Arabidopsis thaliana: one gene and its partners. The protein of the gene in region 1 purifies or fractionates together with the protein of each later gene. This does not show direct contact. Each region holds a gene or a part of one and is shown on either strand. Other genes may lie near its edges.

Region 1 (9,880 bases):
CTTGGCTGGTCTCATATTATACGTCTCTTGCATCATGTTGAAATAGTGAAAACCAAGGTCAAGCTGTCCCGAATGAGTGCAGGCGGTGAGAACGCTGATGAAAGTTACAGAGTCGGGTCTGAAACCAACCTTTAGACTCTTCTCAAACAGATCAATAGCTTCTTTGCTCTTTCCATGTTCTGCATATCCATTGATCATAGCTGTCAGAGAAACAATATCATCTCTATCTGTTTCTCCGAATATCATTGAAGCTTCTTTGATACTTCCACATTTCGAGTACATATTAATCAGACTACTACGAACCGTGGAGTTCTGTTCTAAACCAAAACAAAGAGCAAGCGCGTGAACTTGCCTGCCTCCCTCAATAACTGCCATGTTTCCTGAAACACTCAGCAAACTAGCAAGAGCAAAATCTGTTGGTTTTGTCCCTGATTGTCTCATCCATGAGAAATACTTAAAACCTTCTTCTCCAAAACCGGCTTGACAGTACCCTCCAATAATGGTACTCCACGAAATAATGTCCCTGCATCTCATTCCTTGAAACAAAACAGAAGCAGAGACTAAATTCCCACATGTAGAATACATCTTCATCATCGAGTTACTCACTGACAAAGAATCATTTAAACCTAGAGACAAAACATTACAGTGGAGCTGCTCGCCCCACACAAGTCTAGAAAGACTCGCACACGCAGAAAACATTGATGCAAAAGTTTGTTCATTAGGAGGGACTTGAGAATTTCTCATCTTTATAAATGTCTCCACAGCTTTTACTTCTTGACCGATTCGCTTGTAAGCCACAATAAGGCTTGTCCACGAAACCACATCCCTCTCACTCATATTTTCAAACAAACAAAGTCCGTCCTGCATTTCCCCACATTCAGTGTACATTGTCGCGAGTGAGTTAGCCACGCAAAGAGTGGTAACAAAGCCTCTCACTATCACATGAGTATGAATCGCCTTACCATATTTAACTTGACGTAAACCAGCACAAGCCTTCAAGGCAATAGCAAATGTATAAGTATCAGATAGTTCTTCCGATCTCGACATTTCAGAAAAGTACGTAAGACCTTCCTTGTAACGACCAGCGTGAACCAACCCCGTAATAATCGCTGTCCATGTTACAGCATTTCTAAAAGGCATTTCGCTAAAGACTCTGCAACTCTTATCAATCTTTCCAACTCTCTTATACATATCCAGTAAAGAACTTCCCACATATACAGAGCTGAGAAGCGAAGTTTTCACCGCATAAGCATGCAAAGATTCTCCATATGCAATATTGGAGCTTTGACCACAAGCCTTGAGTACAACACTTAGCACAGAGGTATCAGGTGAGACGGCATGATCAACAACACGCATTGCGGAGAACAAAATCAGTGCTTCGTCAGAGTTGTTTGCAGTTACGTATCTTTTAATGATGGATGTCCATGAAACAATATCTCCGTGGGGCATTTTATCGAACACTTGGCGAGCAGCTCGCAAATTCCCTGCATTGATGAGACTCCTAAGGTGAGAGTTGGGATCAAATTTGACCATCACCTGATTCGAGATACGGACAATGTTCTCCTCAACCGGTTTCTGGAGCAATGAAATCGAAGTTGTACAAAACCGTTGGATTGTGCCGCAATTTCTCACACTCGAAATCATGTTTTTGTTCAAATTCGAAACCAATCGTTACCTTTACCAATTGTACCGAATTAACTAGAAACATAATAAACCGAATGTTAACCAAACCAGTCGGTACACATTTGCATCGAACCATAATAAATATCCGGTGTGGTGTTTGTTTGTTGAAAAAGGAGGAGAAGAGAAATGGGGATAGTGACTAGAGCCGGAGATTGGTCGTTCAAGGCTTTCACGGCGGGGCTAGGGCTCGCCACCATCTACCTCACCGCTACTTTCTCCTTTAATGTCTATCGTGGTCTCTCTTGGCACAACGCTCAATCTGTATGTTTCTTCTCTCCCTTCACTTGTCAATTTGGGGGATCCACGTTTCCTCTACATTATTATTTTCGTTTCTTGTTAGATGATTGAGGTTCTTCGGCTGTATGAAAATGATCACTTGTAGAAAGTTTCTTTGATTTCATTGGGATTGCTGTTGACCTGAGGGCCAAATTTAGGGTTTATGAAAGTTTCTATATTGTTGCTAGTTCTTATCTGATAAACAAATTTTTGTGCAGTAACTGTTAGGATTTGGAAAATTTTAATCATATACTACATGCTTTGGTTCTCTGGAAATGGTGATATCTCTGGCATCGTTAGAGATTACTGGTTTAGATACTTAGTCTACGCAATGGATCAGCTGTGTTAGTAATGTCTTTATCTTTCTAGCAGCAAGATCTTGTCCCAGTTTGGATATTAAATATGTGTTCTAAGTCCATAATATATCTTAAACTGATAGAGAAGGCCTTTTATGTGCGAAGTTGTGAGGAACTTGATAAGAACATATTTAAAACAACCCATTGAGACTTCATTAGTGAGAGAGACTCTCAACCATAACCCGGGAAAATCCACACACTAACCAATCTGCTTATAAGTTTAGTTCTCACTCACCGACCATGATATCTTCAATCTTAGGCTCGGTACACAGTAGACCTATACCTAAGAGTGAAGCCTCTGAACATTACTCCAGCCAATCAACATCCTCTTCTCCCCTGTGTCTTGGATTCAGAGCTATTGTTTGCATTAGGTTGCTAAAATTGTTTCCTTGGCTAATATTCATTCACCTTTTTTAGTTTCATGGAGAAAGTGAATTTACAGTATCAAAATGAAAATGCAATGGTTGTTTATGGTTTTCTCAAGATTTTACAACTGTTTATGAGAAATTTAATGTTCCTGTCAAATTTTAAGAGAACTCAACTGGTAGATGCCATGTGGTAATAATCCATGGTTTGCTTTAATTTGTTTTTGTATCCCTTGACCTTTCTTTTACTCTTGGTGTATAGTTTTACTTACAAATCTTACATTGTGTTATGCCCTTCTGGACTACAAATCTTACCCCTGTTAATGTCTTATCCAAAGCTAAATCCATTTTATGTTTCTTTTCCTTGCAGAAGCTGGAGATTGAGGAATCTGAAGAACAACCCGAATGATCCGAATTCAGTTGCTATCTATCCCTCAAGCAGCAGATGCTTCCTTGAATCTTTGTGTGTGTTGTTTCTTTCATACAACTGCTATATCTTTGTTTCGATTCTAGGAGCAATTAAATAAATGAAATTTTTTGGTTGATACCTTCACTAAATTTGTAATGTGATTCTAAAAGTTCCGTAATAGCAAAAGAACAAACTTTTCTTACAATAGTTACACTAAACTACTGACAAATTGTTAAGGTAATATAGAATCTGTGAATCCGGAAACTGGCTTGATGACAATAGAACATGAACCCGGAGGAATAAGAATTGTATGAACGCAAAATGGATAGCAAAAGAAAACTTATCATTTTCGATATCGAATACTATGAAGTATCAGAAGCAACGATAAAGTTAAACTCTACAATACATTACAAGAGAAGAGCACAGAGAATGCTTTAGTGAATTTGGATTTCAATAATCAATGAGCTCGTGATTCCATGTAAAGCGATTTGGATTTCTGGAAGACAAATACAAGGTTTCGCCATAGGACAATTACAAAATCCTTTTCGTTTCTTCACTTATTCAAAAGCCAAACATGAGTAACAAGATGAATATCTGAGATTGCTAAAAAGGGAGATAAAGAAACTCATGAGCTTCCTCATGCAGCCTGAGCTTCCTTTCTCATCACTCTCGCATAGATCTCATAGCAGCATCCTGAAACAAGCACACATCAGAAGGCAATCCAACTCAAGACACACAAAACTATGTCATCAACACCTAACTATATGAGCTACACACACTATTCTACTAAGTGCTGATTATATCTAAACAGAGGATGCAATAACATTAATTCAATGGAGATACCATTGGCGAGATACCACCATCTAAACCATCCCAGCTACTACATTATCTACTATCCAATTTACTTCCACTGTTTATATGAAAACATGATCAGATAATATGGTAAAGCACAAGAACATCTTCAGAAAACTAAGGATACATTTTCATCTGCAGCTTTTCTTGATCGATAACAGAAAAATCTGTTATAAGATGAATCGCAACAAAAAACATCCTAAAGTGAATCTCTAAACACTTTTATCAGTGACTACCAAGTTCAGATTCATCCTATATGGTACAAGATGAATCACAACAAAAAAGAAACTGATCATGTAAAGAAAATAACTTCACATACCAGCGACAACGACAACTGTGAGCACATCTCCAATTCTTTTCAATCTATGAACACCTTTCTTATGCGACTTGAATCTCCTCAAAGATGCATCCTCAGCCAAGAGCTGCAACAAAGACAACCATTGAAAAACATGAATCTCAGAGAAACTATCAAAAAATCAAATCTTCTAGGAGCCATATCCCTCTTTGCCTCAGCTAATTTCGATTCGGTATTGCTCTTTCAGAACAATTACACTACCTACAATTACTATTTGACATACAAAGATCCTTCCAAAACAAATTTTCTCCTTTTCTAAACAATCTAATCTGACCGAATCGATCCCTGATCCCTACCCTATAACAGATATAAATGTAAGAGATACTTACAGCTTTCTCACGAGCACCTAGCTCCACATGGAACCCGCGACGGGATTGAGCTAAAGCACCATCCGTCTTCTGCATAAAGATCAAACGATTTTGTCATAAATATAAGAATCGAACTATATCCGTTAAAAGAGATTCGATTCGATCCAAGAACAAAACCTGGGAAGAAGATCGGAGGTGAGATGAAATCGAGGTGTTGAGTAAAAACGCCATTTCCGATGAGGAGCCAAAATTGAAGCAGTGAGATGATAGCAAATTAGCCACTAACTATCGAATATCATCAATGGAGACGAAATCGAAAAGGTCTTTTTCTGCAAATTTCTCAATAATGAACTTATTAAATTGTAATTTTCGTTTTCTGTTTTTGACCCATACCTTAAGAATAATTTCATTTTGACCCCGAAGTTATATAGTATACATTTGTAGACCTCTTCTGTTGTGATGTTATGAATCTGGTATTGGATGCAAAACTAATGAGCTCGAGTATGTCGTATAGAACAGACGCGATTGTGTCATTTTAATAATCTGTTTTATAATTTATCAGATTAAGAGCAACAAGTCAACAAAAGAGTTCTAATTCTGATAATCTAAACTATTAAATCATAAAAACCAACAAGAGGGCAATCATCAGGAGATGCCACTTTAGCTTTTGGTTTAGCAACATTCTTCTTGCAATTGCTGCAGATCTTACCATGTGTATATAACAGACAGTTCAGATCAAACTTGAGCTCATCAGGGATCTTGCGGTTGAGATGAACATACGTTTTGTTCCTGTCTGCGGTTTTCGGAACCCAACCTAACGCCTTTGCGATCTCAAACACCTGTTTCAGTCGGGGTTTGTATCTCATTAGTGATCTGCTTGACTCAATGAAAAACAAACACCAAAAGCCAAGAATAAACAAGAAACACTCACATGAGTGTCTACTGGGAAATCATTGTGCTGGAGATTGAACATCAGAACACAAGAAACCTGCCAATGATCGTTACATCGTTACCAAGAGTTAGGTGTCTAAAGGACTATGAATAAGAAGCTTAAGATAGTTTCTATCGAGTGAGCGAGGCTATTACCGTTTTAGGTCCTACTCCTTTAAAATGAGAGAGCTCGGTTTTTACTTCTTCGACCGATAAACCTCGCAGATACTCCAAGCACAATCTACCTCTTTCGTTCTGCAAACGGTTCAATATGTTCTTGATACACACCGCCTTTTTCGGTGCCAATCCTCCACATCTTATAGCATTCTCAATTGATTTAGACTCAGCATTCAAAACCTACATTGGCAATATACATTTTCTCAAAACGTTTAACCAAAATCTTAAAGAGTTTTAAGCTCAGAGTTTCCCAATTTTGTCCAAGAACATGCTTTAATTGAACTATTTCTATGCATTGATGATTGATCCATAACTAAATCTTAACCTAAACTCATAACTATAATTAACATCACAATACTTAAACCTTCACAATACATAGCACTTACGTCATCCCATTTCGGAAATGTAGCTTTAAGAGAAGCAAAAGCCCTTTGGGAATTGCTCTCAGTTGTATTCTGCGAGAGAAGAATCTTAACAAGCCCATCAAGTACACTCTCCTCTTCCGTTTCATTCAATGTCTCAGATTTCAGATTACACTGTGTATCGTGATCATCGACGGCGGAGAATGATCGGAGTCTTTGACGGCGGTAATTAGCGAATTCGGGAGGGAATCCATGGAGAGACAACAAAGCATCCCTTACGTCTCGGCATTCTTCAGCGGTAGGTCTAAGTAGTGTAGGGTAAGGATTGCCGCCGTCGACGGTTGATTTATTGGCCGGAGTTTTTGATTCGCCGTCGTATTTGTTTAGGCGTTTCCGTTTTTGGGCTTTACTCATCTCGTAGGAAAACGACTGACCGGTGCAATATTCAGATCGGTTTACTCTTCTTGTTTTGAAGTGATTTATTTCTTACCCACAAAATTTAGTGAAATCTGGGCCGGTTGACTAAATTCTCGGTATAAATTAGATCCGGTTCCTTTTTTTTTTGTTTTGGGTTTTGGGTGCAAAATTTTATTTTTTTATTCAATCCAGGGGCCGGTTCAATAAAATTAAAGTCCCTGAGTTCAGGAGAAGCAACAACGGCAATACTAAACCAATACAACGGTTATGCCTCAATGATAATGTCATCTAGCATAATAAAAATAAAAAAGAAAGAAAATGTCACCTAGCATTTTTATTTCTGGCATGTTAAGGCATCAAGCAAAAGATCAAAAATTGTTTCATATCCATGGAGAGATGTATGGGCCTCTCAGTCCATAACTCCTGAAAAGTTAACCTAAAAACAAATTGTTTCTTACCATGCAACAAGAGTTTAATTTCTAATTAATAGTGGAATGTTGTCACTTGTACGGTTGTACCAGACACTGTCTAACACTAGTGTAATTCGCTCGTGGTTAATTCTCTAGCAGAAAGAAGATTCAACACGTCCAGCTATTCTCGTAACATATAAATAGGGTCCATAGAGTATGTGTGGCTATGTACCCATGACGTGTTTGCATGACGAATGGCAAATTGGCGATTGGATTACATGACTTCAGGCAAAATAATTGTAGAATATTCCAACTTGGTACACTTTGAAACGTTGACCTTAGAATTATTTGACCAACGACTAAATCTTCGTTCCAAATCTTATATTACGTACTTTAATCAAAAGATCTGAAGACGGTACACCAAACAGAGTAACTCTCCACGAGACGACTTTTGTTTGTCTAACGTTTTCACAAATTAAACAAGAGCAACTCTTTACAAACGAAATAATCAACATTTTACTGTTTGTCGTTTCATTAGAAATGACAAATTAAAGAAGATTAAAATCAGATATTACAAATTCACTCCCAAAATATTAGTCACAAAAAAGAGTGAAAAAAAAACAAATATTTGAGAAAAAAATTTACCAACAAGAAAAGAGATAAGAAAATGAAAATAAAAAAATTGAATAGAGCTAAAACTGAGAGGAATAAGCAAAACCCCCTTTTTGCCCTCCTTGTTGAAACTGAGAACGACTTAGCCCACTCGCTTCCAACATACGGTTCCACTCACGCGCCTCCGCTCCTTCACCGAATTCACTCCCTCCGCCTCTCAATGTCTGTAGAATCTTTGAAGCTTTCTCCTTCAACCGCCCGCTTCCGCTCTCGCTCTCCACAATTTCCGTCAAAATCTCCTCCGCACCCGCCTCACTCGCCAATCCTCTAAACCTCATATTCCCTACACTCAACGTCAACAAAGCCCCGACGCAATTCTCACGCGCCGCCGCGTCTGACTCAGCTCCTCCACTTTCTCGCAATTTCCCAACCAGTATCGACACCGCATTCCCGTCAAGCATCGCACCTTTTCCTTCCGAACAAGCCGCCAGATTACACAGTAATAAAAGAATCCTGCTCGCCGATTCACCGGATCTGATCATAGACAGCATCATCGGCACTGCACCGGCTTTAACCAGCCTACTTCGGTTATTCGGAATCAACGACAAATGATAAAGCGCAAGCGCCGCGTCTTGACGAGCTCTCTCACTCTCCGATGAACGAAGCGCGTGAAGAAGCGGCTCCACCGCACCAAGAACTCCGATCACCATCTTGTTCTCTTCTTCAACCGCTAAACTAAACAAAGCTCCGATTACATGCTCTTGCGCCTCCGTTGATCCCGATTTCAAAACATCAATCAACAAAGGAACGAATCCTGACCGTACGATTTTCAATTTGTTAGGTTTCTCTAACGAGAGATTAACAATCGACGCGGCGGCGTTTGTTTGCACGATGTTGTACCGTGAAACGATCAGAGATCGGAGTAATGAGAGAATCCGATCAGTACAAAGAGAGATTCTCGTGGTCTCGTTTGATCTCGTCGTCTTCCTTAGCTGAATCAGACCTTGCTCGTGATCGATTGTGTCAACACTTGTCAATTTGTTGTAGATCTCTTCTTCTTCCGGTGACATCGGAGGAAAAGATGAATAATCCGATGTAGAGAATGAGCTTTGGATCCGGGTCGAGTGATTAATGGGTCGGGTTTGGTGAAGTGGAAGAGAAGTAGTTGACGATAATGAAGTCCTTGAACGAGATCGAATCGCTCCCATCACGGAATCGTAATCTGAATTTGAATTTGAATTCTCAGCCACCGGTGGTAAGATTTCGGATTTAGCGATCCGATGACCCGAACCCGGAGGAAGTGAATCCATTCGGGTACGAACAACACCTTCGACGTAAGCGTAATCAGGAGGACGAGGATGTTCCATTTTGTTCCGATCGCACCAGCTTAAAATTGTTGATTTCATGGCGAGATTTGGGATTACGGTGGATAAATCTGGTTGAGTTCCGTCGTGAAGCTTTGGAGCAAAACTGAGATTCCGGCAAACTTGGACGGAGATACGTTCAAATGTTTGACCAGAAGCGACGACGACGGGGTCTGACATCAAAAAGCCGGTGATGGGACAGAGGAACTCTGTTGGAGTTTCGCCGGGGCTGTTGTGTTGTGGCATAGTTGTGGCGGAGGCTGAACGGTGGTGGTGGAAGGAGAACCATTTGTGTCTACCGGTGTCGCCCATTTGGAGAGACAGAGAGCTTGAAGAAGAGAACGAACAACAAAGCGAAGAAGAATCTGAGAAGTTGTTGTGGTTGTAAGAGATTTTTATTGACTTCAACTTTTGAGGTTTTGTAATGGAAGGTCTTTGTTTGATCGAGTCTAAAAGATTCTCTCTGGTTTGATAACTGATACTAACTACCAAACTATTTATTTAACTACTTACTCTTTAACATAGTTAGTAAATTTAATAATTATTATGATAATCATTGGATATGTTGTCAAATAGAAATGATCATAGGATATTCGAATATTTTATATCTACGAGATGAAAAGATATTAATGATTTTCTAAAAAGAAATTTCATCAACTGATAGCAATATTTAAAATTTATGTACGAATATGATTTTAAGAAGAAAAATAAAAAAGAAGTACAGAGAGAAATAGAATGAAGACAACAGAGATATAATTGCATAGAAAGAAAGAATAGTGTTTGACAAAACAAAACTAAAGAAGTGTTTGGTAGTTTTGTATCATCATGCATGTACAAAATGATGAGGGTAAAACAACAATATAAGATCATTTATCAAAACAATTTTTAAGCTTATTTTAAAGATTATTATACTTTCATTGTTTTAATATTTATGGATATAATCATAACTCGTTATTGAAAAAGGGCTTTTTGTGTGTGTGGTGAAATTTCATAATCTTATTCCT
Region 2 (11,271 bases), on another chromosome or scaffold:
GACGAAAACCGCAAATGCGACTCTGGCTGCCTGCTAGGCTTTCTATATAATATATCTGTGCATCGGCCTTTCAACCACCGTACATTCTCTACACATTGCTAGGCGTAGCTGGAAGCAGAGCAGACAAAAACAGTCAAAAACTCACAGTAAGCAACTGTTCACATTACACTTTCAATTGCTCTGGTAGATTCATTAGATCCTAATTCTCTTTTGAAGATTGAAATAAAGATGTAATTGCATAAATATAAGTTTGTGAAATGATAGAATATGTTTATATCACTCTTAGTTAGCTAGTTCGCAGGCTTCTGATGCTTGTTGTGTCAATTTTGACTCTCTTGTTCAGGCTATTCTACTTCCAGAGATCACAATTCAGTGTAAACTCTGCTGAGAGAATGAAACCAAAATAGCTCATCTGCAAGAACAGGGATATTCAGTTGCTTAAAAGCTTAGAAAAAAATATGTAGAAATAGATTATAGGTCTTAAGTTCATTGCCTAAGGATAAGAAGAACTGGTTAATCCGAGTGTTTTTTTGAGGGAACCAGATTGGTTTCATGAGTCTTGTAAATCCGTCTGTGAGTCTTCTGTTTGAGCTTTTGGCAAGGCTGGACATATAGTGTTTCTTCTTATGGTGGCAATTCATTTCCATGTTGAATACTAGTCGACATCAACCTTTCGATCAAAATCCTTTAAGATGGAGGAAAAAAATGTCGCTAAAATCCTCAATTTGCCAATCACTTTCAAATTCTTCTCCCACCAAAAATAACTTTGAAGTTTAGTTTTAACCCCAAAATGTTAACGTATAAGATATTAAGCCGCGGTACACCGCGAATGGATATATTCATTGAAAAATTATACATATTTTTTATAAGAATTATTATTTATATACGAATAATATATCCTTGACACATAATTTCTATATTTGTAAAATTTGAGTAATTCATGTTTTATGTTCTATATTTGTTGTATATTAGTTTATTATTAAAATTAATATTATTTTGTTTGTGATTTGGGTTTTTTTAGAGTTAATAAAGATTTAAAACTTGTATTATCTATAGATTGACCCGCGGTGTACCGCGTTGATATTTTTGTTAGAAAGTTAGAAATTTTTTATTTTAATTAATATTATTTATATAAATAATATATTTAAGAGGTAGATCTTTTTTTGTCATCTAGATTTTATTAAAAACCATGAAGGATATTTGGAAGATTACAACCATATGCTAGCAGAAAACAAAGATATCTCTGGAGTCTAAAGCCCTATGTAAGGGAAGCAAAGAAACAATACTACAAGGCTACAAACCGATACAAACATATAATGAAAGCAGAAGAACCCCACTACAAGAACAGACCAAAACAAAACACTCGACCAAATGGGACCATAAACCAACCCAACAAGGAAAGCATACTTCAAGAGATCCTTTGATAGTACATATCGAAGATGCCCGTGGCCAACCATCGATAATCTAATCCTCCTCTAAAGATGCCAAACTGCCTAAAAGTAACAGAACTCCTATGCTAATCTTCATAATCCGCAAAGACAGAACCACACATGGAACCTCACACTTTCTTCCGGATACGGTGACGTCGGAGACAAGGCGACATTTTACACCTAGATAGAAGCAAAACCATAGGACCAGATCTCGATCAGATCTGAAATGCAGAGACAAGGAGCAAAAAATCCACACCGGGTAACACCATTCTCGAAGAATCAGGAGCAGCAGAAGATCGAACCAGAGTGAACCAAAGAAATCTCCCAAGAATACAAAAGAACTTGTAGGCCAGATAATCACCACAACGAGCATTCGTTCATTCATCAAAAAGCATAAAATGGGAATCCCATCTTCTATCCAAAACAGCCAGAGACAAAACGAAACTTAAACAACTAAAACCGGAAAGACATTGCCTTTTCAACATCCCAGACCGTCGAAGAAGAAGAGAAGCTAAACGATACTATCTCTGAAACTGTTACAGCCAACTCAAGAACCCAACAAAAGCGATTCCGTCTAACCCTAACAAAAAGGCTATGAAGAAAGGTTGGAAAGTCTGCTTACCGGACTAGCAAAACAGAGTGAGACAAACAACCACGGATCCGCTACAAGCAACAGGAAACATAATGAGACCAGAGCCTTCGCCGACACTTTATAAGACAGAGCATCCAATAGATCCACAGATCTCGGAGTCCCAAGCAAACAACTCTCATTGGAGAAGCTGACTGCCGACCACGCTGCAAGCCTCGCCGAGAAAATTAATATTATTTTGTTTGTGGTTTGGATTTTTTTAAGAGTTAATAAAGATTTAAAACTTGTATTATTTATAGATTGACCCGCGGTGTACCGCGTTGATATTTTTGTTAGAAAGTTAGAAATTTTTTATTTTAATTAATATTATTTATATAAATAATATATTTAAGAGATAGATCATACGCCTATATTTTTATTAAATAAAAAATTGAATTTTTGCTTTTAAGATGAAATATAGATACATGCTATTTTTTTTTTTTTTTATGTATAATACTATGATACTGGTGACCAGAGGGGAAGTAATATAATAGTCATTTTTATCTCCTTTCTGGAATTCAAGAGCTTCTTATTTCTCGTTGATTCATCATGTTTTGTATTCTTCATTGTTGATGTCATGGTTCTAATTAGTAAATTATCAACCATACAGAGCTCTAAACTTATTAGTAATATTTGAGATTACATATGTAAAAAACTCAAGATGATAGCTAACGTTTTCCTCCCAAATTTAGCATATTGAGCTTCTAAGTTTATGCCAGTTTCAATTACTAAAGCCAAATTTAGATGATATGTGCAGAATTAACTGCTATTGTTTGTGAGGTTTATGTACAACTTTCAAAAGTTAGCAAATAGAGGCTGTTAGGTTTCATTAGTCTTGTAAATTGGTTTGAGATTTGAGACTGGAGGAGACAACTTACAAGAAACATGATAGTTTTTCTCACTTGCAAATTTTCAATCATAAGAGGAATAATAATCCATCACTACATATATAGTTGCTAAATGACCCAACCTAGAACCATAATTTATTCTCTTAAAGAAAGAAAAAAAAAGACAGCCGATGGGGAACATATGCCGTACATACTAACTCATAAAGAAACAAGCAAGCTCACGAAAACACGGAATTTCTCGAGTCCAGTCGTCGATCAAGACTCTAATTCTTGCTGTTAAGGTCTTTGAACACCGGGCTGTCCAGTGCAACGCCCATTGCATTCAAACCATTGTCCACATATATGGTTGCACCGGTTATGGCAGAGGCCAATGGAGATGCCAAGAAGGCTGCTGCATTCCCAACTTCATCTACATCATCGCCATTTATAAAGCGTAAGATTCCAAGAAAAAACAAGCACAAGAGAGGTGATGGTTTGAAGGAAATGAACCTGCGGTCAGTGTTTTCTGAATAGGCCCATTATTGTAGGAATACTCAATCATGGTGTCTATGAACCCAATGGCTTTTGCTGCTCGGCTTCCCAAAGGACCTGAAACCCAAACAGTAGTACTCTTTTATAATTTCAAAAGACGAGGCGTGTTATTTGTACCACGAGGCGTGTAAGAGGGAAAGATGGATTACCCGCAGAGATGGTGTTGACCCTAATGTTTGATTTCCTTCCAGCTTCATATGCAAGCACCTATGTTGAAAACACAGTTTGGACTAAGAGACTTCTAACCGATACATCTTTGAGTTTACGAAACAGAATTGTAAACTCACCCGTGTGTCACTCTCTAGTGCAGCTTTGGCAGAACTCATACCTCCACCATACCTGCACAGAATGAAAGAGATACTTGTGAGAATGTGTTGACATCGTTATGTGTGTGCATTAGTTTGTTCCTTTGAATAACTTGTGAAGAAGCCATCCTTACCCAGGAATGATTCTTTCAGAGGCAATGTAAGTAAGAGATATTGAAGCACCTCCTAAATCATCATAGAGAACCAAATAAGAAAACATATTTACAAGGAATAAAGAGACATACGAAATTTGTTACATGCCTGGGTTCATAATTGGCAGAAAATGCCTCAGCAAGGAAACAAAGGAGTAACTCGAAGCAGAGATAGCAGCGAGATAGCCTTTCCTTGATGTCTCCAGAAGAGGTTTGCTAACCTAAACCCACATGTGAACACCATTAGGAAATAGTTTGTATACAACACAATGCACTTACTGTAACCAATAATCGATACGAGTTCTCTACCTCTGGGCCATTTGCAAGGGAATGGACAAGAATGTCAATGCTTCCAAAATCTTTTTTCACACATTCAGCAGCTTCCTGATTTAAGCAACAAAAAGCATTAAGGAGTAACACATGTTAACTTGCAGGCGTGTTTGTGTATCTCTAATCTATACCTGTACGGTCCAGTTTGACGATCCTGCATATCGCTTATTCGTTTTCACATCTTCAGGCACATCTTCAGGATTGTCAAACACAGCATCCAAAGCATAAACCTTCTTAATCTCCATCAATGACCCGTCAGGCAACCTGAATATACATGGATGGAAAAATTAATGTCCCATTACATAAAACCAGACAAGATCATGTTGTAAGTCCTTACACTCGTGACTGGTCGAATTTTCCACGTCTCAAGCTTGTCTCAAATATATTAAGTGCCTAGTAGACCATCCATTCATAGGTTAGTATAATTTAGCAATGAAGGAAACTAAAAGCAGCTGAACCAAAAATGACTTACAGGAACCCAAGTCCCAACCAATATTTCAGCTCCAGCAGCAGCAAGAGATTTTGCTATGGCCCAACCATAGCCATTATCATCAGCTATACCAGCAATGAAAGCTCTTTTCCCTGTACCATTTACACTTGCTTAGTTCAGATAGCACCAAGTCTTCTCTGAATTCAAAGAAAGATATGCCAACCAACCTCTCAAATCAATTGGAAGCCCTGAAGGAGCCTTGTTTTCACTGGATTCAGACATTGCCCTTGTGGAAAAAGAAAAGGGTCTCTTACAAGTTGGAACAGCACTGTGGTTTCTCAAACATCCAAGGTTTGATAATTGGCGAGTGCATGAAAGTTTATCCCATGAAGCGTTTCCAGGATTGGCACCAACAATGTAGGTTCCTGCTTTAAGAATTTTGCTAGGCGAAGACATGCTCGGCCTTCGTGTAGCAATTTGTAAGCTTGAAGCTGCTGTAGCCGCCATTCTCACAACCTTTCTAATTTTTTCTTCTACTAAAACAACAAATCCAGAAACATTGTAAGAAAGACCACATATGAAACAAAATTTAAGAATCAGATCAAACCTAAAGCACAAGTTGACATAAGTTCACTACTTGAAACATTATAACAAGAACCCTAGTTTCCAAAATTTCAAGCACTGCATTAGAGAAATCTCAATCTGCATTTTTCTAATGATTTGGATTAGAGTTAACAAACAAAGTTCAGATTTTTCACATACGTGAGTATAGTTAACAAATTAAAGAAGCAGATCAATGCAGAGAACACGAAACCTAAACGAGAGATAATACAAGTTTCGAATTTTTTGGAGCCCAACAACATCAGAGAAAAACTCAATCAACAGAGATATAAAAACTTCCACAGAAAACCAAAACACATCTGCATTTAACATTCAGAAACTCATCAAACAAACAGAGACGCAAATGGAGAACAAGAGAGAGACAGAGAGAGAAAAAAACCTGTGAGAGCGTGAGAGATAGAGAGCGAGAGAGAGAGACAGAAGTAGGTTTGGTTGATGTGAAGTGATGATATGTAAGAGAGAGGAGCTTCGATGAGATCGAGGTGTTGTTTCTGTGAAGTTTTTAAGTGATATCAGAAGTTTTCGTCTCAATTACAAAACCGATCGGTTCTGTTATAAAAACCGGAATCCTGGTTAACTTTAAACCGTTTCTGAATTTTCGACTTTTTCTCTTCTCACTTTTCCGTTTTTTCCGACAACTTTATTAGATTAACTCAAATAATAAATCAATGCTAAAAAGTATTGTTTACAAAGATAATCATATGTGGTTATATCCGAACATTCCGTATCTAGTGGTCTGTTTTAACATTTACATTTCGAAGCATTAGAGATAAATCAAAAAAATCAAACTCATCACTATCTTCCTGAATCGTCTTTAAGTATGTAGCGAATGTTGGCCATTTTGTTGGAAAATACATCATCTTCATCAGATCTACAGTTTATAAAAAGCGTTACTTTTCGCTTTTCTTGGCCAATCATACATTTCATTGCCCAGACGAGTGCTTCCAGCACACATGGTTGGATGTCCTTCATTTGGTAAAATACAGAACCATCCCATGCCCAAAAACTTGTCACTATCTTTCCAAGAGTCATCAATGAAACAATGATATCCTGAAAGATTTATATTAACCGACTTAACTGCCACTGAGGCTTGAATTTCATTTGCAACCTCCAATCAGGCTAACGTCCAAGCATTGTCTTTGTTTTTCGCTAGTTTGAGAATATCCCTTGGATCTCGATCCATATTTTCGTGAAGTTTTTCATTTTGTGCTTTCCATATGTATCACATAATCCAAGAAAAGCTAAAAATAAAATAATATAAATGTGTTCTCCAAAATAAATGATCTATGTTTACATAGACCGATGAAGATTGGAAAATTCCTGGGACCGTTGGTATTTGTGATAATGTGCAAGTTTAGAGTGCTGGTGGGCATTCAAAAATAGTATTGATTAATTGTTTTCTCTATGACTATCTACAATGACTTATTGAAAATATTAATTCAATAGTTAAATGCTTAAAACTATGTACAATGCAAAAACATATTCAGCACCTCCACCTCAATTTTGAACATTTCACATCATTTCCTCTTTCTTCCTTACTTTAATTTTTTATCACTCCAATGTTTTTTATTAATAAAATTCAACACCCAACCCCACTATTTCTTTTATTCTTATTTTCTTATATCTTATATTTCGTGATGCATAATAATAGTTGTTAAACAAATTAAGTTAAAATATCTATTAAAACTAAATTAAATTAATTAAAAATGACATTATGGTAGAATAATATATAGAATTTATGGCAGAAGAATAAGAAAATTATGGTAGAAATGACATTTTTTTATGTGTCCAAATAAATTGAACCAAGCCTCCATTTATAGAGTTTAAACTAGATTTTAACCCGCGGTACACCGCGGGGACAATTTATTTTTTAAAGATAGTATATATATAAAAATTTGTAAATTGTATCTATCTATAAAATATTTTTATTTTATAGTTTACAACTGTTATTAAGTAACGTCCTGCCAAACCCGTCCCGCAAAACCCATCCTGCAAAAAAAACATTTATTTTATTAATGTTGATCTTATTTATGAATCATTGTCTAAATATTTTAGTCGATGCGGGATGTTGAACCCACACATTTTTCGCTAATTGGTTAATATATGTTCATTTTTAAAATTTTGAATCACAAAATATGACGGATTTTTTTTTGAGATTTTTTAAACTATATATTATATAATGATGTTAAATTTTTTGATATATTAAACTTTTTGTTTAAATATTAATAATGTTTTATAAAGTTTAAATATATAAATAATAATATTTAAAAATATATATATTTTTTGCCTTTTAGGTAATGACATAATAACTCTAAAAGCAAAGATTTAGAAGATTTAAATCGTTAATTAAATATTTTAATTTCTAAATAATTAATGCCAATAGCATGACATTGTAAATAAGTTCAAATACAGGGTTTATTTATTTAGACAAAAAAACGTTTAGTAAGAATAATATTTATTTAAACAAAAAACTTTGTTTTAAAATATTGCTAACAAATACGTTTATGCTAATTTTAAGGGATTAATGTGAAGTTTGTTTGGATTAAATTTGATTGATAATGTAATTGACAATTTAAATTAAGAATTTAAAGTAAAATTAATTATTTTGGAAAAAAAATTAATGCTAATGGCATTGGGTTGTAAATAAGTCCAGTTATAGGATTTATTTGTTAAAATGGCTGCAAAAATGTATATATAGAAGTCATAAATTTTTATATAAGTATATATTTTTAAAAAAAAACTTTTGTATGTAATAATTGATTGTAAAAAGATAAGATGAAATAAAAATCTCCAAGAAAATATAGCAAGTGTCAGCATCTCAATAACAAGTGGCACTCTTCGAAAAAAAATGAAAAAAAAGTTTTGTACAGTACACCCTTCGTTTCTGAGTTTGAAGCACACCTCCCACTCACTTACTAACAAGTGGCACATGTGGGTCCAAAATTTATAAACATGTTGAATTCACGTAAGTTTTTTTAATTATTCAACAGGTGCAATGTGGAGATTCAACAGTTGAATAAATAATTCAACACGTGCACTGTAGATAGTATTATAGAAGAATTAACAGGCACACAACCAGTAATAACATGCCAAATAAAATGTCTCAATTTTAGCGGGCATTGGACTTTCCAAGAGTGGGCTTGGAGAGGCCGTAAAATTTGGGCCAAAATAACAAACTTGGTTTTCACCTATCGTCATTTGCTCCGTATAATATCCTGATTCGATCGTATATTTTTCAGACTTCGTGAAGTGCCAATCCAAAAAATCAGGTTTGTTATTTTTTCTTATGGGTAGTGCAAATACAAAAGGGATATCCTTGGGATCAAGAATATTCTGAATTAAATCTATATTTCAAGTGTTTGTCTGATCATCAATCAAATTCTTGACAAGAAGATATGCTAATGAATATAACCATTGTTTATAGCTGGCCTCGGGGATTAAGCTGGTATCCAGGGATCATTCCATACTGAATTTGATCATCCAGAGCTTATTCGTTTAATAAGCCCTTTGTTAACCAGAGGTTGAGCAGATCCATTGGATCTGGTTTTTGATAATAGCTCCCTTCAAAAACCTTTGCAAATAAGGAATCATGAACCTTAATAAACCGCCATATTTATTTCGCTAATAACCCAGTATTATATCATCCACATCCTGAAAACCAATCCCACTATTAGATTTTCTCTCGCATAACTTCTTCCATGCCATCCATTGCATTTCTTTTGTTTCTCCAGTTGAGCTCAACCAAAGTTTTGCTACTACATTCGTAAGTTTTGACGTTACCAACTTTGGTAATCTAAAATAATACATTACATAAGTAGGCAACGCAGCAGCTACCGATTTAATCATTACTTCTTTACCCCCTCTAGATAAGAATTTTGCCGAACGATTAATTCTTTCTTGTTAGCGCTCTCTCACAAAAGAAGATATCTTAGTTTTGGAGCCTCCTAGGCTTTTCAGTAATCCTAAATAAGAGCCCATGCCCCCTAAATTAGTGATCTCTAGAGTTCTCATAAGTTCGTCTTTCAGTGAATCTTCTTTCTTGTGTCCGAATTGAACCGATGATTTTGTAAAATTTATTCGTTGGCCAAAACCTCTTCATACCTTTTTAATATTCCTAAAACGACAGCGCACTGCTCTTTTTTGTCATTCTGTAAAAGAAAAAGCTATCATCCGAGAATAATTAGTGAGAGATCTAGAGACTTGCTTGTGTTACTTTCATTCCTGTAAAAGTTTTTTTTCTTTTTGCTTTCCGAATATTGGCAACAAAAACTTCTGTACATTATAAATAAATAAGGTGATAACGATCTCTTTGCCTTAAGCCTCTTTCAGAGACTATCAAACTTTCGAGGCTGTCCATTAGTTAGAATCTTATATCGAACCGATGTGACACTTTACATTATCCAAAAAAAACTATTTATCGCAAAAACCAATTTTCTTTAGTAAATGTTCAATAAAAAGCCACTCTATTCGACCATAAGCTTTACTCATGTCTAAAACTATGCCATTGTGGGTTACAGTAAAAAATGTTCCCCATTCCATGTTCTCCTGGAATGGTTTAAGCTTTCTTACCAGTCCAGTGGGAAATCCAATTAGACTTCATCCTGAAACAGAGTTATGCACTAAGTTTGATGAAGCAAAAGTATTTGTTGAAGTTAATCTTTCGCAAGAGGTTCCAAAGTGTTTCAGGTTCAGTATAGAGGATGAAGAAGATGTTAATGTGGAGTTCGTTTATCCTTGGTTGCCTCCTAAATGCTCTTGTTGTAATAAATGGGGTCATCTCGTGGATGTTTGTGTGAGTAAGCCGAAGTCTCCATTGAAGGAGAGAGTCATGGAATTAGAAGAAGGTGAAGTTCTAGCGGTTGTGTCTGACAATGTGATAGTTAGCAAAGTGAATACAAATGTTGAGATACAGAACTCAACTTTGCAACTTTCTGAGGTCGTTGAAAATCAGGAGGTCTCCGACAAGGTGATACCACAAGTCACTCAGTCAGACGGAGATGGTTGGTCCTTAGTCTCTCCAGGGAAAGGAAGTAAAAGTTCTGAAAAATCAAATGGAAAACCTTTAGAGTTCGGCCAAGTAACGCTTTTATCCTCTTCTCGATACTCTGTTTTGAGTGATCATGAGGAGAATGGGGACAAAGAAGAGACAGAGCGTGGGGAACAGGTGGAAGTTTTGGATTCCAACGTGGGGGCTCTGAAGAACTCGGCACCGGAGACGGAGAAAACAGGGGCGCTGAGAGTCAATCTCCCTCGTTCCTCGAAGAGCTCCCATAAAGTACTGTCGGAGACTTTTACTCAAAAAGCAAGAGACAATGTCTCAAGCAATTCGAGCAGAAGAAACTCCAAAAAACTTCATTAAATGATTGGTTTTTTCTGGAATGTGCGCGGATTCAACAAAACAATTAAACATTCTGTAATTCATGATTGGGTCAGACAGGATTCTTTAACTTTTGGGGGTTTAATAGAAACGAGAGTGGATGAAAACAGAGCCAGTCGTATCATATCTAAGGTCTTTCGAGACTGGTCCTCTATGACAAACTATGAACATCATCGTTTAGGAAGAATTTGGGTGGTTTGGAAGAATACGGTTCGAGTTACTCCGGTTTACAAAAGTGGACAATTGATTACTTGCTCTGTTTTGACGGAAGAAAATGCAGAGGATTTTTTTGTCTCTTTTATTTATGCATCGAATTATGTGGATGAACGGAGAGAACTTTGGGAAGATTTGAGGAATCATTACGATTTGCCAATGTTTCGTAATAAAGGTTGGATGATACTGGGTGATTTTAATGAAATTTTGGATGGGGAGGATCATTCAAATTTTGTGAATTCACCATTCATTCCACAGGGCATGCGAGACTTTCAAGACGTCGTAAGATATTGTTCCCTAGCTGATATGAGTTATCACGGGCCAGTGTTTACGTGGTGCAATAAAAGAGAGGAGGGTTTAGTCAATAAAAAATTGGATAGGGTTCTAGTAAATGAAGTATGGACTC
Region 3 (10,813 bases), on another chromosome or scaffold:
TTTTACAAAGTTGGTCACATGCTTTTTTGGCTTTCATGCATGCTTCTGCCTTCCTTTTGTTATCTGCAAAATTTGCCTTCTTGTTTCTCATGTTTGACCAACCCCTTCCATAAAAAGGAAAAATGCTAAAATAAAAACATTTATCGTTGTCAGCACAAACAACTTGTTATGAAATTTGTAGGTACCCAATCTGCAATATAGAGTCACCTCTCATCGATTGATTATATATGAATAATATCCCTAAATTATTCATATTCTATACATCGATCTATTTGAGAACATTTCTGTTACTTTTTAAGAAAATAAAAGAAAGCTTAAGATATGGGTATATATAGTTTAAGTGAGTCCGAAGAGTTAAATGTCCCTTCATTGGTTTAAGATTTGGTGTATAAACTAATTAAAGCTGATTTATATGATTTGGAGGACTAAATCTTTGTTCTTAAGATGATGATAAAATAACAATCTTTGAGGGATTGCGTTTGTCGGACCACTTTATCATATATTATATGGAAAAAATTGGAAGGCCGTTACAGAAGCCTTACGTAACAGATTTCATCAGATGTGTATTTCTCGTTGACCGGCTGGTCGGTCGGATATGACCCTGGTCAAGTAACTGTTGCTTATGCTTTTCAGGAAGGGTATTTTCGGTATCATTTAAAGTGTTTCTTTACTTTCTAAGGGCATCTTCAAGGCTCAACACCATTTTGGTGTTCAAATTACATCATTTTTAGCACTAAAACTTGTGTTTTTTCCGACCATAACACCAAAAATCATACTAAAAAAAATATATACTATTATATTATCTATTTAAAAGATTTCTTTTATTATTTAATAGTTTTGATTAGTATTTATTACTAGTATAGAATTACATAACATTATAAACATAGTATATTGAAATATATATTTAAAAATACATAAAATTGTAACTATTTTGAGTATTTTCATACATAATAATATAAAAATATCATAACTAAATAAACTATTTCAAGAGATATAATATATTAATGTATCCATTCATTTTTATATTTTATATCTATTAATCATTTGTAATTTTATATTTGTTAATTGAATTTTTATTGATATAATAAGTGAATAGTGTTTAGAGTTGTGAATAGTATCACACCAAATTTGATGTAACACTGTAGCATTACACTAAAATGGTGTGAATTTTAGAGTTCCATTGGAGAGCTTTTAGTGCAAAAATTACACTAAAATGGTGTTTTAGAGTCCCATTGGAGTTGGCCTAAGCCTGCTCCTTCAATGCTCACTTTCTCTTCTATACTGAATTTGTTTTTCTTTTTCTTTTTTCTTCTTTTGTTGACAAGAAGAAATTATGAAAATATACTGATGTCAAAATGAAGAAACTAATTTATATCTTAATTCTTGTGAACAAAATAGTATAATTACCATTGACTAATAATTGTAAACCTTATGTCATAAAACCAAATCTTAAATCCTAAAAACTAAGCTTTAAATCTGAATCCCTACTCAACACACTGGTTATTTCTTTATTTCTTTTTGAGCTTGTCTATGTACTCTTTAAATTAAAAGATTATAGGCTTTGGCTCAAATTATGATGTATTGTATCACAACAACAACAACAACAACAACAACAATGGACAAGAATTTGAAATAGTTCCAAGTCTTGACACATTCTTAGCATTAAACTACGCACAGAAGCAGAGTTGAAGGAGAGAGATGGGTGCTCTGTGTTGCACTAAGGATCGGTCTCAAAGAAGGCGGAGTGGAGAGCCCTCACACATTGCTCTGCCTCTTCATCATTCACTATCAATGAGATGTTTACCTGAAACACACACACACACACACACATATCCCCATTCACTATAACCATAAGTAAACCATATTCATTCACTATCATGTAGCAGCGGATTCCATCTAACCTTAGATGCACCCTGCGAGATCATCTGCACATTCACTCCATTGCTTCTAAATACTTGGAACACCTGTTTTGTCATTCATTCCATTCCCACTAAATTAAAACTTCAAAATTCAAAAGAGAACACAAGACATGTTACTCTCACTCACCTTCTCTAATATGAGTGAGGATTTCTGAACATTTCCTATGAGAGAGATGATTGATCTGCGTTGAAGTAGTTTCACAACAGCAATCTTCTCTAGCTCTTCCACCAAATTATCCAGTTCCTGTTCACACCCAGTCCCTTTAACCAATACCACATATGACCCTCACAAAAGAAACAATCTATCAAAGTCAAAGGAGTATTACATTTACTCGCTGAATTAACTCTCTACCCCAGAGCTTTGCTGGATCCAATGTCAATGATATACTAACTTCACTTGTTGCCACAACATCAACCGATATACCTAAATCTTCAAATGTGGTAAACACCTGCACACGAGACAGTGAGTATGCTTCCAGTGAGATATTAAACAAAGTCGAATAAAGATATCATTATCCAATTATATTACCTTGGCAAGGAAACCATATTGGCCAAGCATACGGGTGCTTGCTATGTCCAACATGGTCACATTACGTTTCAGAACAATGCTGGTTAGCACAGCCTACAAGGAATTAAAGGAGGAAAAGGTCATTGATATTTTGATATAAGGAGTTAAAAAAACACATCTGTTTCACGAACCTTACTCATGTCTCTTGATCTGGTGATGACAGTTCCTGGAGCAGTGGGGTTGTACGAGTTCTTAACCCTCACAGGAATGTCGCCATCTCTTGCTGGCCTCATAGACAGTGGATGCAACACCTGCAATGGAAGAGGAATATGCTCAGCCATCTGACAGAAAAGAACTCATCAGCATAGTGCATAGCTAATCTACGAGATTACCTGGGCACCAAAGTAAGCAAGCTCAGCTGCCTCATCGAACGTTAAGTACGGAACAGATTGAGCTCCAGGATATATGTTAGGATCACAAGTCAAAACTCCATCCACATCTTTCCAAACCTATATTAAAAAATCATTGTTTAACAAAATTTCATCTACATGATGCAATCTTGGCCAAAGCCATCAAATACCTGAATTTCCCGCAGTCCTAGCGCTTTCCCAATCGTTGTAGCTGTCAAATCACTGCCACCCCTACCCAGCGTAGTGATAGCACAAGACCTCCATCCCTGCAGAAACACATGCATACGAGAATGAAGTTTTGTTTTCAAAATTGATACAATAAGCAAAACAACTCTTGTGCAGAACCCATTCCAATTTATAGAATAGATGAGAACCCGAGTTGAGCACCACATATTTCTTGATCCACGAGAACAACATAAAAAGTCAGAAAAATATAAACCTTTCCGAGGTAGCCAGTAACAACAGGGACTGCATTTTCCTTGCTCCAGTCGCCAACAAGTGTTTTTGAGACGGCAGGGTATGTTGCTTCAAGTATATCAGCATTAGTAAAGTCGTCTGTGGTGATAAATCCGATCTCAAATGCATCATACTGCCAACAACAAGCAAACAACTCATCAAGTAATGAACTAAACTCATGTTAGAGTACATACTTGTGAGCATTGACACACTCTCAAGTTTCTGTAATCTGTATGATGAATGCAGCAATTATATGCAGGGCCAAGGTTATGCTAGGACCAGAGTGTTATAAAGCAACATACTTGACGCGCTTTGTGGCCAATTTTATTGAGATACGCAGAGAAAAGCCTTGTGGACATGCACTCTCCAAATGAAACCAAGTAGTCCCTTGTGCGTAAGGTTAGCTCTTTCATCATTGATATGCCTTTGAGAAGCTGGTGTAGTCCTTCTAGGTGTTCTACAAATAAATTAACCAGAAAAACGGATTCAGATAAGAAAAACTCAACTGAATGAGCAAAGCAAAATTCTGAAACTACAATAGGAGAACGAGAACCAAGGTACTTACTTTCAATAACCGTTGTTTCCACTCCAAGCTCATGAGCAGTTCTGAACATAGAGAATTTTATTTCCCATGAGAATAAGGCTAAATTTGGACTGTGAACACTAGATAACAATCAAATACACATGAGATAACATTGTTTTCTTTAACCTTAAATGGAGTTCCTTTATAAAGCTCAATTCTTCAATACTTTCTACGTTAGTGACACCGCAAGTAACAGCCTTCTCTCCAGCCTAACAAAAGCGGAAAACCAAGAAAATAATCACTCTACCGATAACAAAAACGTCATAAGGAAGACGTAGAAAAGATTAGTATAGTTGTATTACCTTCAAAAGCTTATTAGTCGTCTTTCCCATTGCTGATAGCACAATGACGGGCCTCTCATCTGGAAAGCTGAGTATAAGATTGGCAACTTCTTTCATCCTCTCTGCTGATTCCACTGATGAACCGCCAAATTTCATTACACATGTCAACTCTTTGCCAGTTCCGCTTGAATCGCACGTCTCAGGCTCTTTTCTTTGAAGCAAATCGACTCTTAGAGCTTCACAACTAACTCTCAAACCTATATTCCTACAAGAATGCTCTACGTCTCTAAAGACAGCACTACTTGAGGGCAACGTAACTGAAAAACATGCCCCCTTTGAAGCAAACTCAAGCCTCTTTGAACTTAAAGCAAGCCCTGGAGTTTTAACTCCGTACAACTGCAATGAAGCCATAAGCTTGCTAAATCTAAGAGACTTGCGTGTTGTGATCTCGACAAATGGTACAGCTGTGCAATGTGGAAACCTGCAACTTTCAAATTCACAGAAAGAATATCAGATCATTATCAAGGGATCTAAATCTATAAATATAATGAATGAGGTAAAATCATGTTAAGAAATGAATTATGAAAAATTTATTGAACCAATTAATACACTGTAAGTTGACTGACTAATTTTCAGTGAAATCAAACAACCAATACTAATAAACAACATCATAAGAGAAGCACTTGTGAAGCATATAAACCAGAAAATGTGTAAACTTGTGCTTCTTCATCACCCCAAATGCAAGAAATGATGAATCATTCGAGAAATTAGAAAAGAAAACAGCAAAACCCAGAGAAACCAAAGTAAATCGAGAAATGTAGACAATTACCTTAACTGGATTTCCGTGAAGAAAAACAGATAAAAATTGGAACTTTCCTTCGGACACAGCTGAAACGACCTGTCGGATTCGCCGGCCAGGCTCCGAAGGAAATAGTACTAATGTTTTTTTTTGGGTTTAAGGAGTGAAAAAGCGGCTTAAGACTCTATTAGAGAAGGAAGAGAACGTGAGACACAAACACTGTTTTGTTTGCCCTTCCCAGAATGGACGGTTCAGATTCAATCTCTGGGTCGAGATACCCTTTCAGCTATTAGTAAGCCACTCTACTAAAATTTGTACTTTGTGTTAATCCATGAAATAATGTTGACATCTTTCTTTTTCTCCTGCATTTTTATTTTTAGATGATAGTACCAAATAAGTGGTTGATGCTGTCAAAATCGTGAGAAAACAAAACTTGGCCCACTCAATCCCAAGAATCAGAAAGAAAATTTTTCATTGATCGATAATTGGATAGGAAAATTGATAACATAAAGAGTACTTGCGACAAAAAAAGAGGAAACACAACAATCCCAAAACTGCCCTTGTTAAAGACCACTTCAAGCATTCTGGTAATGATGGAGTTTATACAGCAAAACTTTTCCGGCAGCGTTCCCCATAGCCATGAAGCCACTTCCGGGGCTGAAGTCTAGGCAGCGAGGGTAATGCATTGTGCTGTTTGGTGGCGGCCAGTTTGAGAAGACGGTTAGGGATGGAACATGGACTAGCTTTACACTGTTTTTGTTCATTGTAGAGACTATAGCTAGAATCTGAGCATCATGGTTGAACTTCATGAAATCTATCTTGGATGTGAGATTGTCCACTGTCTTTATCGGCTTTCTTTTGCCTCCCACAAACTCAGATTTCTTGTAAATGTTTACGATTCCTCTGTCGGTTCCAGAAGCAAACAATGCTCCGTTAAGCGAACTGCAAAGAGAAGTGCCACAAGTGCTGCCTTCATCCACGCCTTTGTATAAGCATTTCATTGTTCTCAGATCCCAGACATAGACTTGCCCGTCACCTCCTGAGCTCAGCAAATGCTTCCCATCTTCACTAAATGCTAAAGACCTAACTGAACCATTCATCTTTAGGGTTCCTATCAGCTCTTTTGTTTTTGTAGACACAAGTAAGATATAACCTTCGTTGCCAACAAAAGCTATGGTGTTAGAGTCTTGTGACACCTCGAAATATTCCAAGCTTTTCTCCTCTCTACCAACCAAAGGGCCAATTTTGTCAAACTTTGCCTTCTCCAAATCAAAGCTGTAAAAGAACTTTCTTCTTCCGGAGACAATGACCTGAGAGCCATTGGGCAAGAAAGCCGCTTTACGAATGGGACAGTCCTCAAGAAAAATGCTCTGGATCTTGGTGTTCCTCTTTCCATCAATCTGGAAAAACCTTAACCGTCGATCCAATCCAGCAGTGAGAAGCAGCTGAGCGTTCTGATGGAAGTGGACAGAGTTTATTGGACCATTTGAAGGATCCGCTGCATTGGCATCCACAAGCTTAGAGTATTCAAGACGACCAGCACACAGCTTGTTACCACGAGACTTCACCACAAGATCTTCATTCGTTCGAAGGATATCATCAACTCCTCCATCCTGAGTATCATCATCATCTGAAGACTCTCCATCAACTATTTGAGAATCTGGCCGAGCCCAATCAGTCCCCGGGTTTAGCTTAGCATGATGAGCCCTCAGCCTTGCAATGTACTCAGACCCAGAGATCAAACCCTCATTCTCCTCTTTCCTTAGCTTCCTTAGACGGTTGACACTAGCTATATCAACGTTTATCTGTTTCTCTTCTTCATCCTCCCAGGCAGCTTCTCCCTTTCTAATTGCCACAACTTGACCATTCTCTTCATCAGAAAGCTCTTCATCATCATCACCATCATCCTCGTAGTCAGGAATCTGCCTCACAGCAGAACGGTCTACATGAAACAAAGCCGAACCATCTTCTTCTTCTTCCTTACCAAACGTAACAGGAGAGTAGAGTGACCCGAATATCAAATTCTCAAGCTTTTTCATTTCAACCAGTTCCGATTCTTCTAGCTTCTGCTTCTCCTTCTCTGTCTTTCTTCTCTTTCCCCTAGTGAGATCATCATCGGACCCAATCTCTTCCTCATCTTCAACATCTTCGTACTGTTTCTTGAGCTCCTCTCTTTTAATACCCTTACTTTTCGGAGCATTCTGAGATAAGCTCATCTTTCAATACCACTAATTCAGAGCTGCATGAAACAAACAACGATAAGATTCGCAAGCTCGTTATCAATCCGTAATTAAGCTCTCATTTCGGGAAGAATTACTACAAAAGCTACTAATTTGACCTAATTCATGCACAAATTTGATTACAATGAAGAAATAACTTACAACGTTGACGAGCAGAGAAACCTTGTAGCCGGTAATTGTCGGCGAGAGAGCTTCTACCCTTCTGGTTGGATTTTTTAGGGTTTTAGAATTTCATTTTCCAACAAAAGATAAACAAATAAAAATTGGAACTTGTCGTTAATACAGCCCTTTAATGGGTCAACGGGTCTTATGTCTCTTGAAAAAGCCCATGGGCCAAGACAGGTAAAATAACAATGTCACTTTCGTAATTATCGCAAAGTATATGCCTTGTTCCATCAGATTCCATTTGCCCAATAAAGCCCGAGTTTCGAGAGTTAATACCTCATTGGTGCTTTTGGTTTTGGCAAAGCGTGAGTGAGATCGGGAATCAAACATCGCCTCCGTCTCTCATTTCAAACGCTATCTCCATCTCCTTCCTCCGCCGCCGCCATGGAATCTCCGAAGAATTCTCTGATCCCGAGCTTCCTCTATTCATCATCTTCATCTCCGAGATCTTTCCTCCTCGACCAGGTGCTCAATTCCAACTCCAACGCTGCATTCGAGAAATCTCCTTCTCCGGCCCCGCGTTCCTCTCCTACGTCGATGATTTCTCGGAAGAATTTCCTTATTGCATCTCCCACCGAGCCAGGGAAGGGGATCGAGATGTATTCACCTGCCTTCTACGCTGCTTGTACCTTTGGTGGAATTCTCAGCTGTGGTCTTACTCACATGACCGTGACTCCTCTCGATCTCGTCAAGTGCAATATGCAGGTATGTAACCTTTAGATCCGTTGTCTTTCGTTTGTTTTCTGAGCTCATGTTTGTGGATCTGTGTTCCTGTGTTGTTTAGGTAGTGAGATCTGTGTTGCTAGATCTGTGATTTGATTTTCTTTATCGCTTTGTTGTTTTCCTGACTATTGGTTTTGTGTTTGATTTCAATATCTGAAGAATTGTTTGATCTCTGATAAACGCATCTTCGTCTATCCATTTCCATGTTATATATGAATCATTCTATTTCAATATACGTTAATATGGTCTGATTTCTGGTTCTTCTTTCGAAATATTGTTACTTGACGTGTTATGTGTTGAATGGTTCACTTGGTCTTGCAAAACTGATATATCTTGTTATCCAGATTGATCCAGCGAAGTACAAGAGCATCTCGTCTGGTTTTGGAATTTTGCTGAAAGAGCAAGGAGTCAAAGGCTTTTTCCGTGGATGGGTTCCTACTCTTTTGGGTTACAGTGCTCAGGGTGCCTGCAAGTTTGGATTCTACGAGTACTTTAAGAAGACTTACTCTGACCTTGCTGGACCTGAGTACACTGCCAAATACAAGACTCTCATCTACCTTGCTGGTTCTGCTTCTGCTGAGATCATTGCCGATATTGCACTTTGCCCATTTGAAGCTGTGAAGGTTCGTGTTCAGACACAGCCTGGATTTGCTAGGGGGATGTCTGATGGATTTCCCAAGTTTATCAAGTCCGAAGGATACGGAGGGTGAGTTTTTCAATACCAATAACATTATCTCCCTTGTTACTGCTAGCCTTTTGGTCTGATTTCTGATTTTTTTGCAGCTTGTATAAGGGTCTTGCTCCACTCTGGGGACGTCAGATTCCTTGTAAGTTCTGGCCTCTATTTTGCAACCTGTTGCACAATCTTTTTTTTTTTTTTTTTTTGTTTATTGATGAAACATATGTAGTTCTTTAAAAGCAAAAGGTGGTGATGATATCTATGAATTTTACAGACACTATGATGAAGTTTGCTTCCTTTGAGACCATTGTTGAGATGATTTACAAGTACGCAATCCCCAACCCAAAGAGTGAGTGCAGCAAAGGTCTGCAACTCGGAGTGAGTTTTGCCGGAGGTTACGTTGCCGGAGTGTTCTGTGCCATCGTTTCTCATCCAGCAGACAATCTAGTGTCATTCCTCAACAACGCTAAGGGAGCAACCGTTGGAGATGTAAGTCACTATGTTTGAATACAATAGCCTAATGCTAGAATGGCTGTGGTTTGGTAGTTGTATACAAGCTATTGATTTCTGTTACGGTAGAAATAATATTTAATGTTTGTAAATGACATGTTGCAGGCGGTGAAGAAGATTGGTATGGTGGGACTGTTCACAAGAGGGCTTCCTCTTAGAATTGTGATGATCGGGACGTTGACTGGAGCACAGTGGGGATTATACGATGCCTTCAAAGTGTTTGTTGGCCTGTAAGTTCCTCTCTCTCTTCACTTACTTTCGTACCTTAATTGTACCTTCAAAATGCAAAACTCTCAATTCTTTTGATTTGGTATTCAGGCCAACCACTGGTGGTGTTGCTCCAGCTCCTGCCATCGCAGCTACTGAAGCCAAAGCCTAAACAATGACGAAAAAGGTTATTAGGAGTTCGATGGGGTAGGATTTTTGTTTGGAAAAATAAGAGAAACCATACGGTGATGAGGAAGAGTGAGTAAGCTCAATTTCTTCCTGATTTGAACTTTATCATTTTTGTTTTTTTTGAAATTTGTGTTCCTGAATTCAGGATAGTGCTCTCTCTCTCTTTACATACTCTCTTCCTATTGTTTCTTGTCCTTTTTTTCTTTGTGTGATGTAATCTTAAAAGATGAGAGGGACACACTCCAAGATAGAGAGAGTGGGCATACACCCACTCACTACTTTTTATTCAGTTTCAGTTGAAATTCTCTTTTGGTTGCTCTATCTATTATTTTACTTTTTTGTTTTAGAGATTATATAAAATCTCGTTTTAAAACATCAAATCATAGATAGATCTTGAATACTAATCATATGTATACGTTTAACCGCTAAGCGCTAACATAAGGAAAATATTATGTAGGCAAATGATTAATAAACATATGATAAAAAAAACAACGTCGCCCACCGTGGGGCTCGAACCCACGACCACAAGGTTAAGAGCCTTGCGCTCTACCAACTGAGCTAGACGGGCTTTGTTGCCCAACTAAGTTACTTAACAGTTTGATCCCAATTAACAGATGTACCCTTGCAATTGGATTCCATTCGTCTAAAGGCTCTAACAACCAACCATCTGTTGTCAAACCAGTAATTTTGAGCGACGACGATTGAGGGACTAAGGACTTGATTGGTTCTCCCTCTACCACCCGCAAACGCTGCGTTTGCGGTTGGTAGCGGTTGTTAGCGATTGACACCAATCATAAAAACCGCTAGATATCGCTTTAAACCGCTCGAAATCGCCAGTTTTCAAAAGCTCCTTTCCGCAAGCGTTTGCGGTTGCGGGCGGTAGCGGTTAGGTTAAAAAGAATAATCTTTTTTTAATTAATTAAAATAATTGTGGCTTCCACCCAAACCCTAATCACTATAATTAAAATAATCTAATCTTTTATATATCTTATTTTTATTAGAAAACCCTAATCAATATATTGTAACTCTATTCTCTCAATTATGGCATCCGATGAAAATCAAAATCAAGAATCAAACATAAGTATCATCTATCCTTTTATTCATTCATTAGCTAGTGTAATTCTTTTACTATTTCATGGCATCG

Evidence for each region.
Region 2: the proteins of SDH7 (region 1) and MOD1 purify together in Arabidopsis thaliana (affinity purification with mass spectrometry, with the first as the bait; one large-scale study listed by BioGRID). This does not show direct contact.
Region 3: the proteins of SDH7 (region 1) and PHT3;1 purify together in Arabidopsis thaliana (affinity purification with mass spectrometry, with the first as the bait; one large-scale study listed by BioGRID). This does not show direct contact.

What each region holds. Positions count from the first base shown.
Region 1 is NC_003074.8:17,643,676-17,653,555, reverse strand, and holds SDH7 (succinate dehydrogenase subunit), read right to left. Parts: upstream 5,062-9,880; 5' UTR 4,836-5,061; coding exon 4,782-4,835; intron 4,695-4,781; coding exon 4,626-4,694; intron 4,364-4,625; coding exon 4,261-4,363; intron 3,783-4,260; coding exon 3,727-3,782; 3' UTR 3,383-3,726; downstream 1-3,382. Other genes in the region: AT3G47840 (Tetratricopeptide repeat (TPR)-like superfamily protein), read right to left, coding at 1-1,644; AT3G47836 (uncharacterized protein), read left to right, coding at 1,907-1,944, 3,051-3,207; AT3G47830 (DNA glycosylase superfamily protein), read right to left, coding at 5,210-5,443, 5,536-5,592, 5,691-5,891, 6,098-6,487; PUB39 (PLANT U-BOX 39), read right to left, coding at 7,593-9,188.
Region 2 is NC_003071.7:2,316,766-2,328,036, reverse strand, and holds MOD1 (NAD(P)-binding Rossmann-fold superfamily protein), read right to left. Parts: upstream 5,823-11,271; 5' UTR 5,655-5,822; intron 5,191-5,654; 5' UTR 5,162-5,190; coding exon 4,882-5,161; intron 4,807-4,881; coding exon 4,697-4,806; intron 4,618-4,696; coding exon 4,562-4,617; intron 4,489-4,561; coding exon 4,356-4,488; intron 4,279-4,355; coding exon 4,204-4,278; intron 4,116-4,203; coding exon 4,004-4,115; intron 3,929-4,003; coding exon 3,877-3,928; intron 3,777-3,876; coding exon 3,725-3,776; intron 3,645-3,724; coding exon 3,587-3,644; intron 3,495-3,586; coding exon 3,396-3,494; intron 3,316-3,395; coding exon 3,170-3,315; 3' UTR 2,840-3,169; downstream 1-2,839. Other genes in the region: AT2G06000 (Pentatricopeptide repeat (PPR) superfamily protein), read left to right, coding at 1-37. UniProt on the Arabidopsis thaliana protein: Catalyzes the NAD-dependent reduction of a carbon-carbon double bond in an enoyl moiety that is covalently linked to an acyl carrier protein (ACP). Catalyzes the last reduction step in the de novo synthesis cycle of fatty acids.
Region 3 is NC_003076.8:4,529,898-4,540,710, reverse strand, and holds PHT3;1 (phosphate transporter 3;1), read left to right. Parts: upstream 1-7,591; 5' UTR 7,592-7,745; coding exon 7,746-8,066; intron 8,067-8,428; coding exon 8,429-8,790; intron 8,791-8,867; coding exon 8,868-8,911; intron 8,912-9,037; coding exon 9,038-9,252; intron 9,253-9,378; coding exon 9,379-9,503; intron 9,504-9,591; coding exon 9,592-9,652; 3' UTR 9,653-10,068; downstream 10,069-10,813. Other genes in the region: CARAB-AK-LYS (Aspartate kinase family protein), read right to left, coding at 1,718-1,804, 1,902-1,964, 2,047-2,163, 2,246-2,368, 2,449-2,541, 2,619-2,738, 2,820-2,936, 3,008-3,103 and 5 more; AT5G14050 (Transducin/WD40 repeat-like superfamily protein), read right to left, coding at 5,532-7,172. UniProt on the Arabidopsis thaliana protein: Transport of phosphate groups from the cytosol to the mitochondrial matrix. Mediates salt stress tolerance through an ATP-dependent pathway and via modulation of the gibberellin metabolism.